2 separate regions of the Mus musculus genome follow, and region 2 is reported to be linked to region 1. The links are microRNA targets in miRTarBase. Many come from high-throughput screens and were not tested one by one. Region 1 holds a microRNA gene; the other region holds the end of a gene's coding sequence.

Region 1 (5,075 bases):
AGTTTTTAGTGTTCAGGACAGCAAAGAGGCAGATATTGTGGCTTGAAACAAAACACAGCAATATAAAAAGAAGCACACTTTTTGTGTGTGTATATGTATGTACATGCACATGTGTATGTGTATTTATGGAGCTATGCCACATATATACAGGTTCTTATGGAGGTCAGAAAGGGACTCCAATTGCCCAGAATTTGACTTGTAGGCTGCTAGGAGCTACCTGATATGGGTTCCAGGCAAGTCCTGTTGAAAGAATAGCAGTGTTCTTAATCACTGAGCCATCTCCCCAGCCCCATGAGAAAACTTCTCAGAAAACATCTACCCAACAATAGAGATTTTAACTAAGTGAATTTGTCAATAACTGTACTTGAGAGAAAACAACACATGAAAATGAGATGATCTCTTTTTTGAACTACCCAAAGAAGAAGAAAGAGTTATGAAATATAACTAAACAGCCTAAGAATGCCTTTGAATTTTGAGAACATTTTGTTTTCCTGTATATATTCCTTATCATATCTTGGCATTACAACTTGGACAATGACTGCCTACTATTACTTATAATTACATCATAAGCATGATGTCATAAAAAGCTGTGATGCTAGGACTCTGGAAGCTGAGAACAGAGTAAGCCACCAGACCTATATGGTCCACACATGGAGATGCTGCCTCAAAAATCGCCGTCTTTAGAAGTACAACCTGGGATATGAATTTTGTACTTATCTTCCCATCAAGAATCAGTAAGACTTGTAATTCATAAATTTCTAAAAACTCACCATTACATAGTGAATTCATGTGATAATAGTTCGTGTAGCTCATAAAAAGTCAAACTCAAATGAGTAATTAAAATTTAATATTTTATTATGCTTTGAATTCAAGCCTATATACATGAACAGTACAATCTTAAGAATTTTTTTTTACAAATTGACTTTTATATCATTCACATCAAACACTCAGACTGTTTTAAAGAAACATAAATAATAATAAATAATGTACTAAAAATTTAAAGTGCAAATATGTGGAAAAATTTTGTCACCCCATCAGGTAAATGCACATTGAAATCATAATCATTTTATGCCTACCCCCTGTTAGAATGGACATTATCAAATACATGGTAGCAAGTGACAAGAGCTAAGAGGGTAATGGAAAGGAATAAAGACACAGGAAACCACTGTGAACGCTAGATGTAAATTAGTGCAACTATTTGGGAAAACCGGATGACATGTCTTCCAAAAAATGAAAATAGTATCCCTAAATTATATGTCCTCACATCCCTACATCCTCTGTGTGTGTGTGTGTGTGTGTGTGTGTGTACTGAGATATGTATATCAAAGAGGTATTTGTACTCTCTTCATTTCAACATTATTGATAATAGCCAAGCTTTGGTAACAAAGTGTCCTTCAATCAATGAATGAGTAGAGAAAATATTCTGACATTATGGATGTTTTCATAGGTATACACACACACACACACACATATATATATACACATATATGTATACACACACATATACCTATATATCTACATATCTCCATTACCTTAGCATATATACGAATACACACACACACACATACACACACAAATACACATATGAAATGAAATACTATCCAGGCTTAGAAAAGTTTATCAACAAATATATACCTGGATGAATTTATAATCAATGAAATAGAGGCCAGTGCCGCAGGATCCACTTAAATATGGAACTTAAAGGGAATGATTTTATGGAAGAAGAGTAGGAAGTTTGCTACCAGGGGTGGAATAATACTGGTGATTTGGTTTCACCAAGACCAGCTTCCATTAAAAAAAAATCTGCACAATTGGGAGAGAGCAATGTTTCAAGATGTCAAATTGTGGGCTGAAGAGAAGTAATGAGAGAACACACAAATAGAGACTCTTCTGCAGGTTACTAATTAAGTGACGTTTCCAAACTCATAGCTTTTTAAGATAGAAAAAAGAAGGGGGCTGTTCAGTGAATGAAGCAGGAATAGAAACTTTTTTTTGAACTTCTTGTTTTTTGTTGAGATTAGAGCCTTGTCATACGTTAAATGGAACGAAACAGACGGTGGGAGAAAGGAGTTATGATAGATAGAGATGCCCCAAGCAAGGCAGGCACTTGTGAACTAACTACGTAAAATACTGTGGGAATGAATATTCTGAACACTAGAGCAAGGTCCCAGGAATGGATTTCTGTAGTGGGAGTTGAATGTATATCATAATAAACTGATCAAGAGAGAGAAAGGACAATATGTTTGATAGATTTTTTCCCAACGAATTAAAATCTATTAGGTACCATGTACTAGGTACCATGTACACACTGTATGCTGAACATCCTGTTATAAATATTAACTCCAACCACTGTACTTACTATTGGAGGTGATGAACCTTAATGACAGATGTTCTTTTTGAAATTATAGAGCCAAACTAGTTAGGAAACACACACACACACACACACACACACACACACACACACACACACACACACTTGCTTGAAGACAGTCCCTGGAATCAAGTCTACCATTTCAGAAGAAAGTAGAGGGTAAATAAAGATGATGAACTATAATCTTAAATCTGAGGTCTCTCTGGGGAAACAAATCTATTGCATGATTATAATGAGCCCCTGGATAACAAAGTACTTGGCTATTGAGGTACTATCCCTCTGCCTACCAATTCCATAGAGAGTAGAGCCATTTCAGCGATTCTTTATGCAGAGCAAAAGAATTCCCTCTTGCTTCAAGCCCATTTTGACCAAGAAATCTAATGAAAGATGAGGGGATGGTTATTTTCTGTGTAACAATGTGACGGATAACGGGGCAGGAAGTAAGATATTTCTTTGGTTCTTCCTCCCACCAGCACAGCAGAGCAGGAAGCCGTGCCAACCCAGGGCTACACAGTTGATTCTGGGCATCCAACACTTTAGCATTTTTAAGAAATGCCCCATTTGTAACCCCCAGGAGTATAGAAAAGCAGTATTCTTATATAAATTAGTGACTTCCTCACAGAAATAGGACTTGATATGAATTGAATAAACAAACCTGAAAGTTCAGACAGCAGAAGTTAAACCGAGAAACGGCGTTAATACCCCCAGGACCTCTATTAGGGAGGGAACGTCTGTTGATTGCGACAGCAAAAAGCGGGGCCACAGTTGCATTCATTGTTCAGTGAGCTTTTCTACACAGTTCAACCCACCGACAGCAATGAATGTTGATTGTGACCTTTGTAAACATAGTCTCTGAAGAGGCGGGGAGAATCCTGTCGGGTCCTGCTTTGCGGTTCTGTCTTCAGCAAACGCAGAGGGCCATGGAGTAGATGATGGTTAGCTATAGGGTACAATCAACGGTCGATGGTTTTTATTTGAATTCCAAACTCACCGACAGCGTTGAATGTTCACTGAAGCAACCTGTGAGGCAGAGATGTGCTGATTTAAACAGTATCTGTGGGAGTCTGGAGCAGGAGGGAGGCAGAGGAAAGCCCAATCCTTTAACCAAACCTGTCACACATTTTAAACCATTTCAAAAGAGTACAGAAGAAAAGAAGCAGGATTCCTCCAGCCCAGAGCTTGGCAAACCTCCACTTTGTGCTGTGTCAAAGAAAAGAATCGGATTTTTTTTTTTCAAAAGGGAAGAAAAGTCCTTTTGGGGGGAGCTTAGTTACAGGCTGTTAAAGACAGGGAGAATTTATCATTCAACAAAATTGGAACTATCAAAAAGCAAAACAAATAGTATCTAAGTATCTCATAATTTAAATATTGGTATGTATATAATAAGAACTGCAAGGACGCATGTAGGTCATGCAGAATCAAGCAGAAACCACTTAGGTTTTCTCAAGTTACATTGCTAACAATTTTGAACTTCTATGTTTACAATGTGCATGGAATAAGCATTTATTTTACAATAGGCATTTTAATTAGTATAATTTCTTTTAAACATACTTATTTTTAAAACAATCAAGGAATCAAACCAATTTAGCACATCTTTCTTTGCTTATGACACAAGACTTTAAACTACAATGAAAATTAATACAACCTATGCCTACTGCCTGAAATTCAACTCCTCTCACTTTGGTTATTATATCCTAATATTGTTATTTGTTTTGATTGAGTGGATCTGGCAGTAACTTCTATCCATTTCCTAGGTGTTCTTGAAATGAAGTGCATTTACAAGTTAGTATGAACTCTATTGAGCATGTCTTCAAAACTGATTTCAAATATCAACTTAAACAAAAATCCCTTTGTACTCCTCAAAACTAGGGTAGAAAGTTACTACATTATACTTATGTAGACTCTTAAGTGGCTTTAATAAGTATATATATATATATATATATATATATATATATATATATATATATATGTGTGTGTGTGTGTGTGTGTGTGTGTGTGTGTGTGTGTGTGTGTGTGTAACTATTAATAAAATATTGGTGAACCATTCAGTCCAAATTTTTATACATATTCATTTTATTTACTTAGAATATTGTATGCTAAACCTGTAATCATTTATTATCTTGTACACGAAGAGATTACAGGACAAGTGTCTCTGGCTGGTATTTTGAGGTAGATAAGGTAACGATCTGCTGATGGCATGCATTCAGACTTCAGATAGTTACAAGACATAAAACTGATGAATCTGAATAGTCCTGTGTGGCTTCCTTTGAGATAGCTTTCCTGCAGAGGGCTGTCTCTTGTGGAAGGAAAGCAAGTCTTCCTGGGACCATCTGTGTTATCAGTTTCACCAGAATGCATGTTGCTCATGTTCCCTTGCTTGACCACTGCACTATCATATTCAGGCCAGCATCCCATTGCTTCTATACATACCTGTCATTGCTTTTGATATCATTTTTTCAAGGCTGCTGAGCTGAGACTCTAAGCCATGATCATTGCCTTATCTCAATATACAAAATTGGAACTACGATCAAGCAATTTCCATCCGAATCACAATTAATAGCAAAGCACCGCAATGTGAGGGGTTTCCAGAACCTTCTAAAATTCTCTGTAGAAAATATAAGTCCAAATTTCTCAAATTCTTAGAATAAAATTACGGAGAATACTATCATGAAGTTCTTAGGAGATTGAAAGTGATTGGTGTTTA
Region 2 (5,075 bases), not on the chromosome of region 1:
CCGACCCATAACTTACAATAACTAACAACTTTCATTCTTCCATTTAGCATCTGGGGACAGCTCTAGTCTGTGTTTCATTCTGTCATTAATCTTTGGGGAAGCCTCCCTGCCGCACAAGAGCCAGGCTTATAAATTCTTCGCCATGCCTCTGCAAATTAAACAAAATGTGCTTTAAGCTTGCTTGAATTCAAAGGTGCTGTGTGATTGATTTGCAAATGTTTCTGGGGCTAGGTCCAAAGATGACAAAGCTACCCATAGTAGCCCAGCATTTTAACTTGGGGAAAATGCTTATAGGATCAGGTACATACACAAGAGCAAGAACGGGAGGTTGGGGGAGGCATCTGTAAACTATGTCCCGTGAGGTCTGCATGGAGGAAGTTGCCCTATCCTGCCTTATCTCTAAAGGAGAAATCTTTCTGTCTTTGTCAAGAACATCACCAAGCAAGGTCAGTTGATGGTCGGCTGGCCATGTTCCACCTCACTCTGTCACAGTCACCAGGTAAGGAAAAGCTTTTAGAGTCAAACTCTCATAATAGATCCCTGGGAGTAATAATATGCCAATGGCATCTTTGTCTGCAAAAGTCTATTAAACACAGTCACCACACGCATACCATGTGGAAATAGTCGAGGCAGACATCAGCAATTCCAGGTGAAATGTACCCCTGTGCATCTAGGGCGAGGCAGAACTGGACCACCAGATATGGCCTAAAGGTCAAGGCCCGGGGGAAACCGTGATCTTTAGGGATGAAAATGTCACCACTGACACCATTGAGCTATTGATGACTGCCACTACTCAATACCTTTGAAATGTGCTTTTTAATGTTCTTACTTCTCATGGGTTTGAATGAGATTCTGGCTGACCTGATACTAAAGCAAAAGAACTCTGCTACCCGACTCCTGCCCCAACAAATCAACGTGCCTAAGTATAAGCAGGTTGTCTGTGCGTCTCCAAATATGATTTGAGTGACTAATACCAACCATGCAGTGTACACGTTTGCTGAAAATGCTAATTCTCATACCGGTCCCATACATACTAAATCAGAATCACTGGGGACGGGGCCAGGCAGTCCATTCAGAGCCATGTGGGTGTCTGTGGGGGTGCACAGGCACATGAGTGTCCACATGCACAGAGGACAACCTCTGCTGTCGCTCTCTAAGCACTGTTCCCCTCGTCCTTGAGGTGAGTCTCTTCATCACCAGAAACTTGACAACTAGACTAGCCTGGCTAACCATCAACACCAGGGATCTCCTGTCTCCATCTCCCAGTAGTGGGATTAGGAGAAGTAGGAGAAGGCCACTTCATCCAGCTTAGTTGGGTCCTGGGGATAGAACTCAGGGCCTCATGCTTGTCAAGTAAGCACCTCACTGAGATACTGCCCCAGACTCCATTCCAGGTGGTTCTAATGAACAAAAAAAAATCTTAGGAATGATTCGTTGGTCTATTTTCTTTCAGTACCAAGAACTCCACTTTGAAGAAATGATGGTTATGTATCCAGTAAATATATTTCCCAGCATGCTCTACAGCAAAGAAGAGCAAAGATATTCATGTTTATAACTGAAAGGGGCCTCTAATAGAGCAAATATGAAGAAGCCTGGTTCAACTAGGAGGGTTAGTCCACAAAAGGAGGCAGCATCATTCTAGACCTTATTATACAGTCCTAGCACATGGGTACCTGGGCCAAATGATTCAAAGTCTGCGTATGAAAGAAGAGAGTTAGAAGAAGGGATTCCAGCACATTAGGAATGCAGAAGAGACATGAGTGAGGTAACATGATCTCTAACCTCGGTTCCTAAAGATTCACTCGTGGTTATTTTCGTTCTTTTGTCATGAGCCAATACCCAGGGAACCCAAAGAGTGGATTATTATGTAATCTCAAGCTCACGTGCTACAAATTTCAGAGCCAGGACACCTCTTTCACTAATCAGTTTTAATAAAACAAAAGCTCAGAAACCAGCATCAGGAGATCCCACAACACAGTTGAGACTGCTGAAAGTATCGGCTCCCAAACAAGCCATCATAAAATACATAATGAACTGTGAACAGTCTGACTCAGTGAGGGAACGGCTCTCTTCTTTAGTCCTCTATAGATGCCATTGGGAGTCTCTCAGGGCAAAAAAAAAGAAAAGAAAAAATGGATGGCTAAGGATGTTGTACATTACACCCCAGTGACCTGACACGGGGACTATTTTTAAAGACACACTTATCTCATCAGGAGTGACAGCAAGTTATGAAGCAGCCAAGTACCATGGCCAGATAACCCTTCATGAGAGAGGCTGCAGACCATGGCTGCATCCTTCTCACATCCCGTGTGATGGATGGACGGGAATTGCCCTTGGTTGGTTAGGCAAACAGGTTAAGGAGCCATAAATGTAATGTAGAAGACAGAGCTTAGAAACCAAGAACAGTTAGCCTAAAATAACTGCAGCCACTCCTGTGCTTTAAAAATTAGTCAGATTTAAAGTTTACAAGATATATCTGACTGTAAATGTGGATTCTAACTGTCTCGTACATTTCTTGAGTGGTAGCTGAGCACTGAGGTCTATTATCCCATTAAAGAACACTGTTATGAGGGATACATAACCACAGATTTATACAATTCTCTCATGATCCTAAGCAATGCATTCCATATCACAAGAAAATGGAAAAGGACATCACAGCTATATTACAGAAAGTTTCTCGTTATCAACAGAGCGTTATCAGTTAATTCCTATAAAACACCGAGAGAAGCATTAATACATTCTGTATATTTATATATATTTATATTTGGAGTAATGGGGGTTATCACATCAGACCTGATGCATCTTCCTTCCCTGGACAGAAAGTAATGGTGGTGTAAATAAAGAGGTGGGGACCAGAGAAGCAGAGTAAACATGTTAGCCACACTTGAAAATGGGAAGTTCTCAAAGATTTCACTCTTTCCCACTGCCAACTTATATTCCAGAGGACTAGGCAAAGATGGCTTGAACTGGCCTGGCATCTAAGTATTTCCACAGAACTGAGAAAACACTCAATGTAGTCATTAGTTTGGTTTAGATTTGGGAAGATTTCTAATAGGTAGAGATTAGCACATCACAGCTTGTGTGTGTGCTGCAAATAACGTGAGCAAACTAGTTCTTACAGTCAGTCAGTCAGTCGTTCTGCTGGCCCAGGTAAGAGCAGCTCAGGTGGCAGGAACTCCTAGCTCTGTCTCTACCATTGCAGAGGGTACTGATGAACAAAAGCCACTCCCTCAGCCTAGCCTCCAGACTGCTGGCACCTGCCAGAGCAGCCCTGACCCCCTCTCCCCTTTCCACATTCAAGTTCCAACCTGGATCTCAGAAAAAGCTTCCTTGGAGCAATGAAGAAACGAATGTATCTCATGCCTTTTATTTCCTAATGTGCATGCTAATGGCCTGTTTCGAACGCCCCGAGCCAACACACAGAGCATAAATTTCTCATAGGTCCTAAACACTATAATAAATGTACATTGTGTTTTTCTTTGAAATCAAACAGGAAGAACTCACATTTTGAAGAACTGTGGTTACCTTTCCCCATCCTTAGTCAGTTATCTGTGAGGGGGTTCTCTCTAAAGAAAAGGAGTGCAAGCAGCCAATAATAAAAATAAAAACATTTTCATTTCATTTCTTCCTGTTCTCTCTGGGTAAACAGCATCAAACAACCTATGGTCCTGAGTTTCACAAATGAGCAACACAGGAGAGAGAAGTACCTGCCCTACCAATTTGAAGAAAAGTTCCCAGGTAAAGGAAATGGCACGTGGCTTGCCAAGTACATCCTCCGGACAGCAAGCAAGATGCTACCCATTCGCACCAAGTTTCCTGCGACCTTGAATGGAGAGTCCTCCCCAAATATGGCTAAAATGTTGGCAACCTTAGCAGCCACCATTTGTGGGAATAAAACCTCAAAACTCTTATATACAAACTTAGTTTACATAATACCCATCCTCACGTTGCTCTGACAAGAGCAAAACCATAATAAATATAGTTCTTAGTGTATCACCTCTTCGTTATGCAAAGTTCAGGATGCTTGGGAAGAAAAGTCCGTCTATATACATTTTGCTTAAAGGTTGGGTTTTTCTATATCAGAGTATCCTCAAGGCTACTGTGCCAGTTTTCAAAAGGAAAATATGATAGGTGATACTTTCAAATGCAAATACGTAGTCTGCTCTCTGAGCCCAGTATGTGTTGACCCCACTCCCCACTATGACAATCTGCTAGGTCACTGGGCTCCCAGAAGCTGCATGGAGGAGCTTAAGTGGTTCTAGTCCTCAACTTCAGTCCGAAATGCAAATAGTTTTTTGCACCTCATTTAGAGGAGCATATACTCCTTGCTTACTGTGTGTGTTTACTGGAGTGTCCTCTCCCTGCCTGGGATGAAGAGACCTGAAGCTAAGCACACAGCTCTGGGATCCCAAGGATGGTTCTGGGCACCCCTAGTCAATCACCTGAGTTAAAAATGTATTAACAACTGCAGTGGGTCCTAAACTAGGGATCACAAAGTCCATTTCTCCTTCCGTGCTGTCCGCGGTATCCTGTAGACAGTGAGAGGCAGGAGGCGTGGCTGTGCTGGAGTGTCCTGAAAAAGATCTTCCCATCTGTCTTTTCCCGGTGGGTTGGTCACATCAGGACTTGCTCTCGAGTCTCTGGCAATCGAAGGGCAATCAGGCCACCTCCAACCAGAGAAGCAGCAGCCAGAAGGATGGGGACCACTTTGGTTATCCCAACAAAAGAAGCAAAGATAGTGTTTCCCAGGATGGCCCCAAACTTGCACAGTCCGTTGAGGATGCCGAAGGCCGTGGCCCTGCAAAAGAAGAGGACAGGAGAGGATTCTGAAATTCTGGGCTTCGCTAGGTGAACGGCTGTATGTTCTTTCCTTGTTGTAAGAGGAGGAGGTGTGGGACTCAATTTCTTATCTAAATATAAAAACAGCGATTTCATTTTAGCCAACACTGGAAATACTCAATGAAATTAAGATGTAGGGATACCTGGACTAATAGCTGCTATTAACATTCTGAATTGCCTTCAAGCCTCTTTCCTTATCTTCCCAAGCATATCTCTAATTAAAATAGTTACAAGTA

The links. The annotated mature microRNA mmu-miR-181a-5p reads AACAUUCAACGCUGUCGGUGAGU and lies in region 1 at 3,357-3,379, opposite strand. An mRNA with a match to its seed (bases 2 to 7 or 8) in the 3' UTR can be bound and repressed. Matches are read on the target gene's strand: a 7mer-m8 pairs with bases 2 to 8, a 7mer-A1 pairs with bases 2 to 7 and ends in A, and an 8mer does both.
Region 2: the mRNA of Sv2b is a reported target of mmu-miR-181a-5p. Seed matches in the 3' UTR shown: 7mer-m8 at 3,293-3,299 and 7mer-A1 at 2,735-2,741.

What each region holds. Positions count from the first base shown.
Region 1 is chr1:137,964,772-137,969,846 of GRCm38, reverse strand. Mir181a-1 (microRNA 181a-1) reads right to left here and starts at 3,392; the gene lies at 3,306-3,392. Mir181b-1 (microRNA 181b-1) reads right to left here and starts at 3,208; the gene lies at 3,129-3,208.
Region 2 is chr7:75,112,981-75,118,055 of GRCm38, forward strand. It overlaps Sv2b (synaptic vesicle glycoprotein 2 b), which reads right to left. Exons shown (of 13, transcript NM_153579.4): 13 at 1,914-4,798. The coding sequence ends at 4,615. Among named protein-coding and RNA genes, the nearest start is that of 4930533N22Rik, 85 kb to the left of the region's middle.